Macaca mulatta: one gene and its partner. The protein of the gene in region 1 purifies or fractionates together with the protein of each later gene. This does not show direct contact. Links are inferred from orthologs where the notes say so. Each region holds a gene or a part of one and is shown on either strand. Other genes may lie near its edges.

Region 1 (3,651 bases):
TTGTATGAAAGGTAATGTTCTTTTAGGTTGCAACATTTGAAATTGCTAGTTTTATAGGTAAAAAATGGTTACATATCATCGTTACTGTATGATGCATTCTAATGCTAACCTGAGCTCAGTTCTAGTTTGGTTTTGTTGCTTAAAGACTGAGTTGGAAAATCCCATTACTTGGATAGTAATGGTCCCCCTTTTTTTTTTTAAGGCACTCAGTAAGTGGTGGCTGAACCTTTTATGGTAGGATCTGTAATTTTAATATGTTCTGATTTAGGGTTTGAGGAGAAAGAAGTCTCTAATTTTTTTTTTCCGTATTTGAATCAGCATATTGAGAAAAGAGTGTAGCAAAGAGGAAGACTCATTTTCCTAAACCTAGCTATCTATTTGTTTAAAAAAATTTTTAATTTGGTAGATTTTAAAAGACACTGGTGTGATTATCTTTTTAAAAGGAAGCTTAAAATAAGTGTCATTAGTGATTAATTTTTTTTTTTTAATTAGGTCTCTGTTGATCTTGGATGATGTTTGGGACTCTTGGGTGTTGAAAGCTTTTGACAATCAGTGTCAGATTCTTCTTACAACCAGAGACAAGAGTGTTACAGATTCAGTAATGGGTAAGATTATTCATTAACTTTTTAGTACCTTTATATTTAATTCAATTACATTTAAATATGTGGCATACCAAATTACTTACTTTGTCTTGTGATTTTTGTTTGCAGGTCCTAAATATGTAGTCCCTGTGGAGAGTTCCTTAGGAAAAGAAAAAGGACTTGAAATTTTATCCCTTTTTGTTAATATGAAGAAAGCAGATTTGCCAGAACAAGCTCATAGTATTATAAAAGAATGTAAAGGTATGGTTATTTATTTTGTTTATGAGGAGGTTATAGGGAGTTATATAATTTCCCTTTTGTAAATTAAGCTAACAAATGTGATAACTTAGCACATGAACATCCAAGAACTTTTCTGGGAGATTTAGTATTTTAGGTTCTTCTCTGATATCTTAAATGGATACATGATGTTATGGTATTTATTTATTCATTAAAATAATATTTACTATCTACCCACAGTGTGTTAGAGACCACATTAGCGAGAGAAGTGAGACACAGATGTGACCTCTGCTGTCAGAGTTAAAAATATAGTGAGAATCAGATTTAAAACTTGTATTTGCTTGGGATTTTATAAAAATAGTATTCTAATTTGGTAAGTTAAAACTGGTGTCTTAATTTGCATTTTTCGTTAGTGAAGTTAAACTTTTTACTTGTTTATTGAATATGTTTTAAGAAATTATCCTTGACTTTAAGAAATTATCCTTGACTCACTTTTCTTTTTTGATATAAGCATTTTTAACTTATTTCTAAATACTCTAAAAATTGAAACTATTAGCTCTTTGTCATATTTTTACAAGTATTATTTCCCAGTAAAACAGTTTTTTAATGTAAAATTTATATATAGGATCTCGCTATGTTGCCCAGGCTGGTCTTGAACTACTTGCCTCAAATGATCCTCCTACCTTAGCCTCCCAAAGCGCTGGGACTACAGGCATGAGTCACCATGTCCAGCCTGTTTCCCAGTTTTTTGTGTACTTTTTATTTGTTGTATTCTTTTGACATATAGAAGCTTAAAATTTTATACAGTCAAATCTATCAACTCTTAAAATTATTTCTTTCATTGTTGCTATGCTTGGAAATACCTTCTTTTTCTTCTTTTTCTTTTTTTTTCTCTTTTGAGACGGAATCTCACTCTGTCGTCCAGGCTGGAGTGCAGTGGCGTGATCTTGGCTCACTGCAACTTCTGCCTCCCAGGTTCAAGCAGTTCTTCTGCCTCAGCCTCTCGAGTATCTAGAACTACAGGCATGTGCCACCATGCCCGGCTAATTTTTATATTTTCAGTAGAGACGAGGTTTTGCCATGTTGGTCAGGCTGGTCTCAAACTCCTGACCTCAGGTGATTGCCTGCCTCGGCCTCCCAAAGTGCTGGGATTATAGGCATGAGCTACCATACCTGGCCACCTTATTTTTCATTTTGCCATCAAATAGAGACACAGTTTTGTTTGTTTATTTATTTATTTTTTGAGACTGAGTCTCACTCTGTCGCCCAGACTTCGGTGCAGTGGCGTGATCTCTGCTCACTGCAACCTCTGCTGCCCAGGTTCAAGTGATCCTCCTGCCTCAGCCTCCTAATAGCTGGGATTACAGGCATGTGCCACTGCACCCAGCTAATTTTTGTAGTTTTAGTAGAGACGGGGTTTCACCATCGTGGCCAGGGTAGTCTTGAACTTCTGACCTCGTGATCCACCTGCCTCGGCCACCCAAAGTGCTGGGATTACAGGCCTGAGCCACCACACCTGGCCAGTTTTGTTTATTTTTGAAGAAATCTTACACTTAGGAAAAATGCTTGATTTGTAGTTATTACAAAGGGTGATGCATGTCCATTTTGAAAATGTGTGAAACTATAAAGAAAAAAATAGAAATTATCCATAATCTGATAATTATTAGCATCATGAGAGTATTGCCTCCAGTCTTTTAGAACAAAGATTTTAAAAATTGAGATTATGTATACATAGTTTTGGATCTTGCCCTTATTTTTGAAGAGCCAGGGTCTTGCTCTGTCACCCAGGCTGGAGTGCAGTGACAAGATCACAGCTCACCGCAGGCTTGAATGTCTCGTCTTAAGCAATCCTCCTGCCCCTGCCTCCTGAATAGCTGGGACTGCAGATACTCACCACCTACCTGGGTAATTTTTAATTTTTTTTGTAGGGATAGGGTCTCACTATGTTGCCCAGGCAGGTCTCAAACTTCTGCCCTCAAGCAATCCTCCCACCTCAGTCTCCTGAAGTGCTAAAACTAAGACGCATGTCACCACACCCAGCTGGACCTTACCCTTTTTTTTTTTTCTTTTGAGACGGAGTCTCGCTCTATTGTCCAGGCTGGAGCACAGTGGCGTGATCTTGGCTCACTGCAAGCTCCGCCTCCCGGGTTCACGCCATTCTCCTGCCTCAGCCTCCTGAGTAGCTGGGACTACAGGTGCCCACCACCATGCCCCGCTAATTTTTTTGTATTTTTAGTAGAGGCGAGGTTTCACCACGTTAGCCAGGCTAGTCTTGATCCCCTGACTTTGTGATCTGCCCGCCTTGGCCTCCCGAAGTGCTGGGATTACAGGTGTGAGCCACTGCGCCTGGCTGACCTTACCCTTTTTATATATCTTGAGCATTTTCCCATGTTGTTAAATATTTTTTTGAAAAAAATTTACCAGTGGCATAATATTGATATATCTTAATTTATTCAACCACTTCTCTGTTATTGGACATTGTTTACATTATTTAAGATTTTTTTCACCGTTCTAAGTATGCTGTGATGAATATCCTTAAATTTAATCATTCTTTTTTTTTTTTTTTATTTAAGACAGGCTCTCACACTGTTTCCCAGGCTGGGATGCAGTGGTGCCATCATGGCTCACTGTAGCCTCAGCCTCCTGGACTGAAGCAATCCTCCTACCTCAGCCTCCTAAGTAGCTGGTACTATAGGCACGTACCACCACACCTGGCTGATATTTCTAATTTTTATTTTTAGTAGAGACAAGGTCTCATTATGTTGCTCAGGCTGGCATATATATATATATATATATATATATATATATATATATATATATATATATATATGTA
Region 2 (3,751 bases), on another chromosome or scaffold:
GTCTCGAACCCCTGACCTCAGTGATACACCCGCCTCGGCCTCCCAAAGTGCTGGGATTACAGGCGTGAACCACCTCGCCCGGCCAATAAACACCTGACTTAATACGGCAGTGCCAGACAGAATACAAGGAGAGAGAAGAAAAAACAAACAAACAAACAAAAAAAACAAGAAAGATGGAAAAATTAATCAGAACTTGGGACCAGAATTTGAGGGGTAAAGGAGTCAAGAAAACCAGTGACAGAACTAGGCATGTCAGGAAGGGGATCTAGTTTTAAAGGATGGCTATGATAACTAAAAGCTGGGTATTAACGCCTTTATTTCCAATATGATCTTAACTGCATTAAGTTTACTTGAACATGACCTTTACCTAGGTAAGAAGGGATGCAAATCCTCTAGATTTCCAATAATTCTCTAATCATCTAAAAATGTTTCTTCCTAGATGTTGCCAGCACACATTCTGTGTTCTTTCGGCACACGAACGCGAGGGGGAGGAGGGCGTTAGCAGAAAAGACGCTGACAGGTAAGGGGTCAGAGGGATAATCCTGTTCTGCCGCAAATGCAGCACGTTCCTCAGTCTTGGGGCGTCCATCAAGCGGAGAGCTGGAAGATGACTGAAAGTAACGGAGTAGAGGTGGAACTAGAACAAGGTCACGAGCTGCTGCCCAACTCGTGTAACTCCTGGTTCCAGGCTGTCCCTCTAGGATGCTGCTGGCGCCAGCCAAGGGAGCAGGACAGAGTCTGGGTAAAGGTCGCCAGCTGACAAGATGGTAGCTAGGAGACCTCTAGGTGCGCCAAAACTAAGGCGTCTTTTCCTGGACGGGCAGAACGCCCTGCTCAAAGATCATTACATCACCACGCCCAAGAACTGATACTTTAGCAGGGCAACGCGCCAACAAGGCGACTCCGCCCCACCCTCCCCGTTCCTCCAGCACACGCAAGCGCACAGAGGCCCGCGGGTGACATCACCCCTCCCGACACCACCTCGTTGTCGTACGACCAAAGGCCTGTCGTAACGGCCGGGCAAGAAAGGCCTCGAGAGGAAGGGCACGCACGCCGCACACCCTAACATGCTCGCCTGCATGCGCGCGCAGGTCCTTTGCGCAGGCATTGGGACTAGAGCCAATGAGGTGCGGCGACGTTACTGCGTAGCCGCCAGCTCGGCCGCACGTCAGGGCGCGGGAGCGCGGAGCGAGTTTGGTTGCACTTACACCGGTACTTAAGCGCGAACCGGCGTGTCCTTGGACTTAGAGAGTGGGGACGTCCTGCTTTGGAGCGGGAATATTCGTTGCGCCAGCGACTAAAAACAGGTGAGAGCGGGTCGCGGAAGCCGCACCTGGTTAGAGGCAGAGCTGTGGGCGGCGCGCACTCGCGAGCGACCGAGACCCAGGCGTGGAGCCTCCGAGTGGAGCCCGCGCTGCGTGGGAGGGCCGGGAGTGAGGACCCGGGACTGTGGTCAGACCGAACCGGGCGAGTAACCGCTTGAGGTGCGGCGGCCCTAACTAGGGACAGGTATGGTCTCAGTCAGGGACTAGAGGAGGCTTAGATACAGATCCGAGGAAGACGCGGCCCCTTTCGTAGTGGTTGCTGAGGGGCTATGGAAATGATAGGCAAGACTTCCCACCCGGAAAGCCGAAGCTTAGCACTTCACGTTCTCCTTCAGAGGGCAAAAGCTGTTGCTCTTCTAATAAGGGGCCATTTCTTTACGTGGGCACGTTTCTTCCGTCAGTCGTTCTGACATCCTAGAAACAGTTTCATCAGTCACCTTGAAACCGACCTGGATGGGTGACCTCATGTTCGCCCCGGGGGATCACAGGTAGGAGAGTGGGGATGTCCTGCGGGGACCGTGCAGCCTGCCCCTGCGTTCCCATTTACAAGTTCGAGTGTCAGGCTACTTCTGTGACCTGGGCAGGTAGAAACAGCCAGTACCGCTTTTTAAATATTTGTGTGCTTTGCAATATCCTCAGGAAGAGGTAGCTTTACATGGTAGTAAGATTAAATGACTAGGCCTTCTTAAAAATTGAAATTGTGGTGATTTTGGCTTAATGTGATCGCCCTTCAGCGTCAGATCTGTGGCTTAGTGACCATGATTTTCTCTTCTGAAACTGGAGTTTGAATTAGGTTCCCTCTTTGCTTGCTTGGGCTTTAACGTTCCTTCACGTGTACACACGAAAATAGGTTTTTGAGGAGGTGCTCCTAAAAAATGTTTTTGGTATTAAAGAGTATTTGGTATAAAGAGTATTAAAGCAATACAAGATTAATTCTGGTATTTAATGACATAAATTACCAATGGATTGGTAATTAAGTGGCTAGAGTGGTCATTCATTTACACTGTATTTGTTACCTGAGGAAAAATTACTAAGTTGGGGCTTTCGTTTTTAGAATTAAATATGGGTGATGTTGAGAAAGGCAAGAAGATTTTTATTATGAAGTGTTCCCAGTGCCACACCGTTGAAAAGGGAGGCAAGCACAAGACTGGGCCAAATCTCCATGGTCTCTTCGGGCGGAAGACAGGTCAGGCCCCTGGATACTCTTACACAGCCGCCAATAAGAACAAAGGTAAGAGCCACTTGTTAAATAAAACAGTACAAAACGCACGAATATCACCTGTGACACACTATGAGGAGTGTGAAATACTTAACCGATGCATTCTTTCTTGTTTAGGCATCACCTGGGGAGAGGATACACTGATGGAGTATTTGGAGAATCCCAAGAAGTACATCCCTGGAACAAAAATGATCTTTGTCGGCATTAAGAAGAAGGAAGAAAGGGCAGACTTGATAGCTTATCTCAAAAAAGCTACTAATGAGTAATAATTGGCCACTGCCTTATTTATTACAAAACAAATGTCTCATGACTTTTTTATGTGTACCATACTTTAATAGATCTCATACACCAGAATTCAGATCATGAATGACTGACAGAATATTTTGTTGGGCAGTCCTGATTTAAAACTAAGACTGGCTTGTGGTTAAATGAATATGTTCCGTTTTTGAATTTTAATAGTAATTCCAATTCAGTAAATGCTATCACTGTTTACCCCTTCTAAAGATATGATTAGACTTTGTTAGTAATGTTCAACTTTTCGCAAAGATGGTGAGTGCCATCTTAAAACTTACTGGAGATTGGTTTTATATTTAGATTTATATAGCTGGTTATGTGAATATATTTAAATACTGGGGAAATTCCTTCACTGTCTCAGAACTAAGCAAGATTCACCTGTGTTTTGTGTTCATTTGCCTCTTAAAGGCAAGGGTTGAAGATAAATAAGGTAGCAATGTCTAGAGTTTTGGCCTTAACGATGCCAATCTAATTATAATTCCCTGTATTTAAAATGGTTCCTTTTACTTATTGAAGAGCATTTTAGTATGGTTTATGTGTAATATTAAAGATTATTCAACACTTCTCACATCTTACAAATCTATAAGGTCACATGCTTTTAAAATAGTAGCAAGTTAAACTTCACTCTTGAATTCTTTACAATCTAAGTCAAACTAAGTTATAATTTAGGATTGTCTTTAAACAGCCATTCAGAAACATAAAACTGTAGAACTGTGTATTTGTGATTGGGAATGGTGCTTTTGCCAACTTAAAAGGATTAAAGTAGCGGAGATATACACAAATTTTAAAATGTGTGATCGCAAGACTAAAGATAATTAAAAAGAAAACCACAGATCATGATTTTTTGACTGTGCTTGATTTCATGACTGATGCAGAAACTTTAATGATTAAAAAGTGCAGGAGCCCTAAATAT

The links. Proteins that work in one complex are often made in the same cells at the same time.
Region 2: the proteins of APAF1 (region 1) and CYCS purify together in Homo sapiens (affinity purification with western blotting; 3 studies listed by BioGRID and IntAct, with this or other methods). This does not show direct contact. The link is inferred for Macaca mulatta from reciprocal best matches to the Homo sapiens genes APAF1 and CYCS.

What each region holds. Positions count from the first base shown.
Region 1 is NC_133416.1:105,957,906-105,961,556, forward strand, and holds part of APAF1 (apoptotic protease-activating factor 1), read left to right. Parts: intron 1-492; coding exon 493-605; intron 606-710; coding exon 711-842; intron 843-3,651. UniProt on the Homo sapiens protein: Oligomeric Apaf-1 mediates the cytochrome c-dependent autocatalytic activation of pro-caspase-9 (Apaf-3), leading to the activation of caspase-3 and apoptosis. This activation requires ATP. Isoform 6 is less effective in inducing apoptosis.
Region 2 is NC_133408.1:103,268,113-103,271,863, forward strand, and holds CYCS (cytochrome c), read left to right. Parts: upstream 1-1,246; 5' UTR 1,247-1,509; intron 1,510-2,379; 5' UTR 2,380-2,387; coding exon 2,388-2,556; intron 2,557-2,661; coding exon 2,662-2,810; 3' UTR 2,811-3,678; downstream 3,679-3,751. UniProt on the Homo sapiens protein: Electron carrier protein. The oxidized form of the cytochrome c heme group can accept an electron from the heme group of the cytochrome c1 subunit of cytochrome reductase.